2 linked regions of the Drosophila melanogaster genome follow. The protein of the gene in region 1 binds, or shares a complex with, the protein of each later gene. Each region holds a gene or a part of one and is shown in the gene's direction. Other genes may lie near its edges.

Region 1 (4,951 bases):
TAAAGTTGCCTCGCAATCCAGGATTTTTGGGGTCCTTCAGATTGGCCACGCGTGACCTAATGCGATTCTTGTACTTCATATCCGTGTTATTGAACTCGGAGTAAATGGCATCCTCCAGTTCGGCGGCCATTTCCTCCGGCTCACCGCATCCTTCGGGCACTTCACCAATCTTCAGTGCGGTGGCCAGCATTTCGCGGCATTTGATGCGGACCGCATCTGTCATGCCGCCGGAGGGAAACGAGGTCTGTGACGAGGATGTCGAGCCTTTCTTCTCTTTATCCTTGGATGAGCTGGATGAACTGGACTTATCCTTGCCGGAGATTGACGACGACGACTTGGCGGCACTGGTGGACTTCGAGGCACTGCTGTTGTTGGAGGAGCCCTCCTTAGCGGAGCTGTTGTTCGGTGTGGTTGGCGCCGGGCTGGCGAGGAATCGTTTCCAGTTCTTGATCAGCGTCTTGGCCAGAGCGATCACCTCGTCGTCCTTGCTACTCTTGCGCAGCTCGTTTACGGTCATGCCGATGCGCGTTTTGGTCAGAATGTCGAGATTGATGTTAAGCGTTTGCAGGGCCTTCAGCAGGTCCAGAGCCTGATCCTGTCCCTGTACGGTGGATATATGTATATTTGTGACATGATGCGCGGCACGTTAGCTAATCCCGATACTTACTGTGCCGTCGCTGGCCATCTTGCTCATCTTCTTTTGGATTCGAAACACTTCCTCCTCCACGCTCATTTTGGCCCACTTAATTTGATCAGAGGTTAGGTTAACTGGCGTCGGCTGTCGGCTTTAATCGGTGCTGCGGGTCTGCGACAGTTGTTTATGCGGAAGCCGGGCTATTTCTTTTTTTCCCTCCAATAAATGTTGTTTACTATTTTTTTCGTTTCTGTATTCGCAGAACGAGTTGACAGAACACCCTAACGCGTTTTAGTGTTACCGGGCGGTGGCTTGTCAAGAAATGCCTTCCCATGGCTAATACAATTCCCAACTGGAAGTAGTTTGGGTTTCAGAAGTCAACAGTGTTACCGTATTTTAATGTACATCTGGCTTTTAAGCGAGTACACACACATAGCATTGCGATGTTTTTTAAACTTGCACTGCTTGCAAGCAGGGCTCCACTGTATTTCAATGAAAGAACAGCGTGTTGGGCGTTTTTGAATTATACTAATTACCTTCAATAACAATTCCCTATATATCACTTAGTTTTAATAAATAAATCGTTTGAGTGTGGTCTAGAGATGATGTATTATGATGAAGTGCGGTTGTTGGGGACAAGCGGGATACGTCTGCGGGTCAAATCGGCGGTGGGACATAGTGAGAGGGCAACGGCTCCAAAACCAAGCGTTGCGAACAATCACCAACGCGCCCTGGTACGCGAGAAATGTTGATATCGCACATGACCTCAGCATCCACCTTCAGTTTGAGAACAAATTAAATCAGGCACATACCAGACAACCAGGAGAACACTGAGGAGGCGTCATCAAAGATATCTTTGGACACGTGGCATAAACAAGCCAAACTATTATCTAATCAATATTTTTATACAAATTTTGTATGTTTCCATGTTATCTTCGTTGCTCCTGTTAGTTACTACGTTTCATAGCCCTTAAATTGGTTGCTTAACGTAAAATAAAATTATATTGTATAAAAATAAAGAGGAATTCACCTATAACAAACGAAAAAGTAAATAAATAAGAACTTCCCCATGTTAAAAATGCCACCACCATCTTTACATATAAGTATGTACATATGAATGAATCACTTAGGTTGCTTGAATATTACAATTTCATTAATAGCTAAATCACATTTGATGTGTTAGTGGAAAACGGCTATATATATAAATTATCGAAATTGTGAATATCGAATTGCGATAGCACAATGGGAAATTCCACCACTAGATTTTTGGTACTTTTAACAGATCCTTTTCGGTTTTGCGTTGCGCGAAGTGATCTGAACTTATCAAAGTTTGTAAGGTAATACATAAAGTGAAAAAGAATTAATTTGCTCTTGAAAGGCAGGGTAAGTAGCAAGAGACTATCTTAGTGATATGCAATTAGTTTTGAATCGGATTTAATTTTGCAACATTAAAAATAAGCTCATTAAAACTTGTCTAAATTGACTCGACAAGTTTTTCATTTTCCAATTTTTAAATCCGCAAAATTAAAACCATTTGAAAACGTATTACATATATTATTCCCCTTATCATTTTTAATTCTTCTATTGTAAAAACTATCCCATTTAAATATTAATGTTACACCCATTTTCGTTTTACAATTTTCGAATACTTAAGCTCATTTTGACTTCATTCTTCCATTTTCGGTTATGTTTCAGCGTTGTCGAAGCCCCTTTTTGTACTTCTAACGGATTTTTCTCATATTGTTACACCCATTTTCGTTTTACAATTTTCGAATACTTACTTTTATTAAGCTCCTTTTGACTTCATTCGTTCATTTTCGGTTATGTTTCAGAGTTGTCGAAGCACCTTTTTGTACTTATTACGGATTTTTCTCCTTATTTGACTGTAGCAATTAGAGAGCTTGGCAACCCTAGAACATGAATTCCTAATTTGGTTTCCTCTTTGCGTTCTATTCTAACAGGATCTTGAAAGGTCTAATATAAAAAAAAGATTTTGCGTGTAAAGTTGATTCATTTTTTTAAAAAGAAAATAAGTTGAAAGTAAAAATTGTCCCATTTTCTGGTTATTGGCATCGTATCTTTCTTTCGTGTGCGTTTCTTGATTTACGCTTTGAAATGTTGTCCTATTCGGCTTTCTCATTCTGGGTTATGTCCAATTTTTTTTTTTTTGCTTTTCCGCATATTTGTTGGCTTTTCTGTTCTGTCTATTCTATCTTTCGCCTTGTGTTTGTGTGCAACTTTGTTTTATGTGTTTGCCAATTTGTAACACTTGCATTCCATCTAAAAACTTACCGTTAAAAGTATAAGAACAAGCACAACAAAGAATTCATTCATTGTAGGTTTTCGTGAATAAAATTGAGAATACTGCATTAGATTTGTTTAGGTTTCGTTTCATTCCGTAATTCTTTCCGTCTCCACTTACCATTCGCTTTATGATCTTTTGTAACTCCTCGAATTACATCTTGCTCTTTCATGAACTTTTTCATTCTTTTTTGCCCCAAAATTTTCAAACTTACATCAAGTGTTTTTTTGGTTCTTTATTTTTATCAAATAAATGTTCTTGTTTTATGTTTAAACGAGTTGCTCAACATTTGTTGAATGGTTTCTTTGGGTCAAAATACAATACAATATTTCAAAAAATGTCGTATATTTTTTCATCTACGTTTTCCTCCATATTCATTTGCTCTATCATTTCTTTGCTTTGTGTGTTTGTTTCGCCGTCATAAAATTGATTTTACCATGTATGTACGAATATATATCTCATATAATTTACATAGTTTCTAGTTAATTGTAGGCAAACGATTTTACAGGGATCTTCAAATTAGCGTTTTCGGGAGTGGTTCTCTCATATGACTCGAAATGGATATTTTTGAAAGTTTCCCTCCAACTATAATCTACTTATTAAAGGTTTCTAATTTGCTCCAATAGTTAATCAATATTTTTTGTTTTTATTTCTTTAATAATGCTTAAATTAATATTGTTTTGTTTTTGTATTTCCGTGTGTGTGTGTAAGTTCAGTTAGGTATTTATAATTAAAAGTAGTATATATGATGCATAGTCCTCTGTTTAATTATTAAATTTAAATGTTTAATCATAGAATTTGCATCCAAGAAACACAGTTACAAAGGTTTTAACACTTACTATTCTTTCGGTTTTGGGTTTCTTTCACGATCCACTGATTTTTATATTTCTCCCTTTTGTTTTTCTTTATTTTAAATAAACGTTAACATAGTAAAAATAATAAAGCGTACATTTCGCTACGAAAAGTTGATTCGTAATTGAACAAAAAAATTTATGAGTAATGAAAATGCTTTTACTGTTCTCTCGATGAAAACAAACTATTGTAATAGTGTATTTTTCTTCTTTACAAAGAAGAATTTATCAGGCCGTGATGTTGAATATTATATATTTTATCTTTAGTTTATTTTATTCGCCTTGATCACTGGTTAGCGACTGTAATTTGTTTTTATAAGGTAGGATGATTTTTTGATTAGGTGAGTGGTAATAACATAAAAATAAACAACTTCACATCAGGTTTTGGTTGATGCAATAAAACAATTTCCATGACCGCCCCTGCCGTTTTAGAAAAAATCTCGAAACAAATCTCGTATTGTGAACAGCTACTAGATATAAAGTCCATAATGAGGATAACTTAGCCTGACACTGACTAGTTTACACGAGGTCACTTGCTTGATCGCGATTTTATCGTGTAAAATCTGATTTAGTTGGCCACGTATAAACTAAAATTGCTTTTCGTGTGTTCTCTTTTCATATATCTTTAAACATATGTATAATTTATTATCCGTTTTTTTTTACTTAGCTTGTTGGTTGGTATTTTTGTTGCTTTTGGCTTATAATGGCGGCTACAATTGTTTTCGTAATTTCCCCATTTTTCTTTTAGTTTTTAAAAAGTTTGTTGTCTGTGATATACGTAATTTATAAGTTTTCATTTTGGTAACTTGCTGCTTTCATTCACCATCGTCAGTAACCAAAACTGCAATTTGAGGAACCTACTCCTGCCCAAAACGATCGATTTAAGCCAGAGTGGGAAACTGACGCTCATCGTTGACCTTGGGAGCGGTGTTCTGTTGTCGCTCAAAACGCTTATTCGGCCCTGGACCGCTGTTCTGATTGTTGTTCTGGTTGTTTCCCGGACCGCGACGATCGATGGGTGGCCTTTGATTTTGAGCGGATGAACCGCCGCCCTCGTTATTATGCTGCTGGCCATCCCGTGGGCCACGGTTTCCACCCTCACGATTATCTCGGCCGCCCTCACGATTGCCGCCATCGCGGTTGCCACCCTCGCTGCGTGGTCCG
Region 2 (4,833 bases), on another chromosome or scaffold:
AGGCAAGAAGGACAGACCTACACAAATCAGATGTTCTGCTACTTTGCACCTGGTTGACTGACGCATAGCTTGTTACGGCTGCGTCCTGCAACACTGCTCCAGAAACGATGCCATGTTGGAATTGAATTCTTTAAGACTGGTTCTCCAAATGCTGCTCCCATTTCGCCAGACTTTCCGGATCCAGCTTTTGGATAAGTACTTGGGCGATAATTCATCCAACGATTTGTGTCGTTGAGCCCATTCCATTTAGCGCGCGAATATGAGCGTTGAATTTATCACACAGTTTACAAAGCATTGAAACGGAACCATTCTGAACTGCCCTTGCCCTAGAATCTCAGTAATGTGTGCCTGGAATATTAAACAAACAGACAAATTCAATGCTATAGCATAGTTGCCATCCGATATTTCAAGTGCAGTGTCCCTCAGACATGTTCTTAGATGCTGCAACTTTTCTATGTTTGTTAGTTCAGGATGGCTATCTATTATCGTAGTAAACATAGAATAGAAGTCCAGCCAGATAGCTCGCCCAAGAGGGGGCAGCGACGTCCTATGCCGGAGTGCTACTTAATTGAAGTGTTAAAGCTTTAAACAGCTTTGCGAGCTTGTTGCAAATTATTGTTTATTAGCTGTTTTTGAGCAATGAAAAGACGAGTTTTGTGTAGCGATTTTGAACGATATGTTTAATAATAGCCGACATGTAAAAAAGATTTTGTCAAAACTTATACATGAGAAATGTTGTGTAAATTTTTGAGAAATTAATTGAAAAATGGTAACATTAAGGACAGTTGTTGAAATTAGGTACAATATTACCATTTGTAAGCGTATGTAAAACGAGCGGTAGAATAACAGTATATTATCGTATCATACGTTGAACGAACTGAGAGGCAGTTCAGTCGCGTAAAGTCAAAGCCAAGAATGTAGAAGGAAGCACATTGCCGCGCGGAGTCGCAATAAACAATCGGATGTCATCAAAAAAAGTGCAACCTGCAAAAACAATATATGGCAGTTAAGCATCTAATTATTCTTTATTATTCTTTGAACGAGCCGTATTCGGTAAGGAGAACCCGGTTTTCAATTAATAACGCCGAGTAAAATAAACTGTTTTAGTTATTTTATATTTATATTTTTTTATTTACCCGTTATTCAGCTAATGCCAGCTTTTGGCATAAATATTAATAAAATGAAAAATTGTTTGGCAGTTTAGGCGTAATGCGACAGTAGGTAAAATGTGCCTGTCATACCGTAAAAACAAGCGAGACAGATAATTGTTTTTATGAATTATTACAGTTTTTTGGTTTGGGTAAACCAAAAATTTGCAATTGTAAACTTATCAAGTTACTTTTACGCATGGGGTCAATCAGATACCTTTAATTTAAAAAATTGTAATATGGTGATAAAATGAATAACTTCATTTAAAAAGATTTTAAAATTTGTTTAATTTACATTATGTTGTGCTAAATCTTGAAACGGCTTGACTTAGAAAGTCTTTACCAAACTTCGGTCTTTGAAGTTAAATTAAATTATATAATTTCGAAGAAATTATTAGTCTTTTCCAAAATCCCACTCATTCCGCACATGACAAAAATCGTTACATGTCACAACACTGTTGATGTACGGTATAAGTGGATATACAAACAAATGAATGTTTTGTGCATCAAAGGTTCCTGAGTGATATTTTGCTTTATGTGTTGTTTTATTTTAATCATAGCAAATCGACAAGATAAAAGTAATGTAAGTTTCACAGGAACTGATAAATGAAATTCACACATATCTAACGTGGGAATTGATCAATTAATTATAAATATGGAATGTAAGAACATATGTATGTTCATATTTATAAACGTTAATCAGATAAAAATTTGAGATATGTGATAAAAATAATTATATGTGAAAACTTATCTGTACATATTGAACTTCATGTATTCAATCTCCTTGGATTGAATTTGTATGAGCGTACAAAAACACTATAAGAATATTAATTAGGAGTGAATCTGATATCACCAAAAATACATACATACGTAATTGCATACAATCTTAAAGATTTGTTGGAGAATATATTATAGGGAAGGAAGCGTTTCCCTAATGCATAAAGTATTTAAGCATATGTATATAAATAACTATATTATTGATCAGGATTACTAGACAAGTCGATCTGGCCATGGGCTTGCTTCAGTTATATGATTTTCGAATTTTTTTTTTATGAATAGTTCGTCGGTGCTGTAGCAACTTTTCATTTATTTTCTATTAACTTTAACAGTAAAGTTGAATCAATACGAAATTTTGGTTAGTATAAAAATTACATTTAAACCAAGACTGCATCACTACTTTTCTTTTAAAAGGTAATATGCAGGCTTAACTCAATGAAGGCGGCGCAAGCCGCTTTTACACTAGCATATTGTTAATTCACACAATGTAAAGTTTACTTTAACTTACTTCACTACATCCTTTAGTCATTCAGACTATACGCTATTTGTTATACTCGTTATACCCGTAGAGTAACAGGGTTCCTAGATCCGTTGAAAACTATGTAGCAGGAGGAAGGAAGCGTTTCCGACTATATAAAGTATATACAAACATATGTAAATACATATATTCTTGATCGAGACAATCTGACCATGTCCGTCTGTCCATATCAGCATCAAGATCAGCCAAAATGTTGAGATTCAGCATACAGATTCTAAAAACATAGACGCAGCGCAAGTTTGTGACCCATGTTGCCACGCAAACTCTAACGCCCACACACCACACAAAACTGTCAAGCCCACACTTTTAAAAAATGTGTTGATATTTTTTCACATTTTTTTTAGTCTTGTAAATTTCTATCGATTTACAAAAAAAAAATTTCTAACGCCCTTAAACCGCCAAAAACTGCCACGCCCACATTTTTGAACAAATTTCTGGATATTTTTCAATAATTTAATTAGTCTTGTAAATTTGTATCGATATGCCAAAAAACTTTTTGCCACGCCTAATCTAACGCCCTAAAACTTCCCCAAACTGTCACGCCCACACTTTAAAAAAATGTTTAGATTTTTTTTCATTTTTGTTTGTCTTGCCAATTTTTTATCGGTATACCAAAAACACCGTAACCACGCCTCCCCTTTTACCAACAAAACGGTCACGCCCACACTTTTAAACCATTTTTAAATCCTTTTTATTTTATCTTTATCTATCGATATCCCAAAAAATGTATGCAATTTTACGTTCGACTACAGCATTCTGTTTTGTTTTTCTCTCGATTTTTTGGTGCTGGCTCTAGAGATGGCTCCAGGCTCTCTCGAATGTTTGTTTAAGAGCCAGAGTGCGGAAAGATATACAGCCAGCTGCCCTCTTCGGCTGTCACTGTATGCGTAAGAATAAAGGAGACAATGATTGTTGGGTGCTTATGTTCGCACTTCGTGTCTCAAGAAATCATTTTTGCAATAAACAGTCAACGTATTTTTATATATTGTATATACAGTTTGTCAAGAAACTGTTTACACACTGTGAAATAAGTTGAATTTTTGACCTTAAAGGTAAAAATGTTCAAACGCTATTTTTTTATGAAATATATTTTTGTTTTACTTATAAATCAAAAAACAAATTATAAATATTAAATATAAAGAAAAGAATTTTGAGACTGTCAAGAAACTCTACGTTTTCTTTATGTGTTTAATGTATGTATGTATGTTTTTATTATTATTTAGAAATTTATTTTTTGAAATGTAATTTTTTTTTTAAATATTTCACATTGCAACTTTAAAAATTGATGTCGCAAAAGATGTCGTCAGTCCCGTTTTACATATTATTAATTATAAACACAAATTAAGATATGAAACATTTATATGAAACACTTTAAAAATCTAATAGTCAAGGCATACATGTTTAAATATTATTTGAGTAGATCATTTTGCAACGAAATTGCCCGAAACTCTAAATATGTTATATCGGATCTTAGATCAAAATTGATTTCTGCCCGAAAATCGTCTTCTAGCACAAGTACGCACACATACAAACATTCTCCAAAGACGCTAGTTATTCTAGTGTCTTTGCTTTCTCGTTTATTCTTTTAGCACACACAAGCAAGTGTATTATTTTTTTCGATTTTATACCGCTCTCAATTTTACTCAAGCGGAGAGAGAGCAATTTTGACCGTCAACAAAAAAGTGGCTGCATAGTGCAAAACCAATGAATGGCCGTTACGCATCTTGTAATTCTATTGTCTTTGCTTTAACTCGGTCTGTGAAATCAAAACAATAAGGAATTCAATAAGACAACTAGCTGTACAAGCTTTAGGAATGATACGAATAAAAGTGGTTGGCACGCTTTAAATAGCTTTTATGTCGAAATTTTTTTTTTTCGATTTTCCTTTTACTTGAAATCGATCGATACGCTAACTAAGTTTTGAAATATCTTCTTGCCTCGCATCTAAATATCGGATTCCTGGTTGTCTTGATAATCTGTGATTGTTCTGATTATTATATGATTAATATAATACTATATATATATATATATATATATATATACAGTATTGCTAGTATGTTTTCACATTAGTAAAAAAATATATCTTCATAATGTACTACCATAAGTAATAAATATTCAAATTTGCTTATATTCGATTCTTAAGTTTGAAAGCATTGGAAAAACAGTTTATATAAAACACGAAAAGAGACAGAAAAGAATCGCGTGGCGTTTTTGTTTCGCATGCTATATTAAGTCGTAAAGATCGATAAAGTTTTCTTGTGTATTATAAATTTTGTGGCTGTTTTCAAATTATGGTTTGTATTTTGCAAGTAAGTAACAATATATTAATTAAATCAATACATATTTCGTGAAAAATATTTCGATTTTTCT

Evidence for each region.
Region 2: the proteins of vas (region 1) and gus are in contact, whole or in part, in a crystal structure (PDB 2IHS), measured with the Drosophila melanogaster proteins. Residues at the interface, in NP_001260458.1 of Drosophila melanogaster: Asp184, Ile185, Asn186, Asn187, Asn188, Asn189, Asn190, Val192, Glu193, Asp194, Val195, Glu196; in NP_001246140.1 of Drosophila melanogaster: Ser64, Leu65, Asn66, Arg79, His80, Pro81, Val82, Ala83, Ser85, Asp87, Gly112, Thr113, His127, Tyr131, Val218, Trp219, Gly220, His221.

What each region holds. Positions count from the first base shown.
Region 1 is NT_033779.5:15,059,766-15,064,716, forward strand, and holds the start of vas (vasa), read left to right. Parts: upstream 1-1,890; 5' UTR 1,891-2,017; intron 2,018-3,165; exon of another isoform or gene 3,166-4,668; coding exon of another isoform or gene 4,669-4,951. Other genes in the region: TfIIS (RNA polymerase II elongation factor), read right to left, coding at 1-601, 668-733; vig (vasa intronic gene), read right to left, coding at 4,669-4,951. UniProt on the Drosophila melanogaster protein: Involved in translational control mechanisms operating in early stages of oogenesis.
Region 2 is NT_033778.4:5,125,124-5,129,956, reverse strand, and holds the start of gus (gustavus), read left to right. Parts: upstream 1-1,635; 5' UTR 1,636-1,731; intron 1,732-2,433; exon of another isoform or gene 2,434-2,554; intron 2,555-2,614; exon of another isoform or gene 2,615-2,708; intron 2,709-4,833. UniProt on the Drosophila melanogaster protein: Involved in the localization of vas to the posterior pole of the oocyte. Required maternally in the germ line for efficient primordial germ cell formation.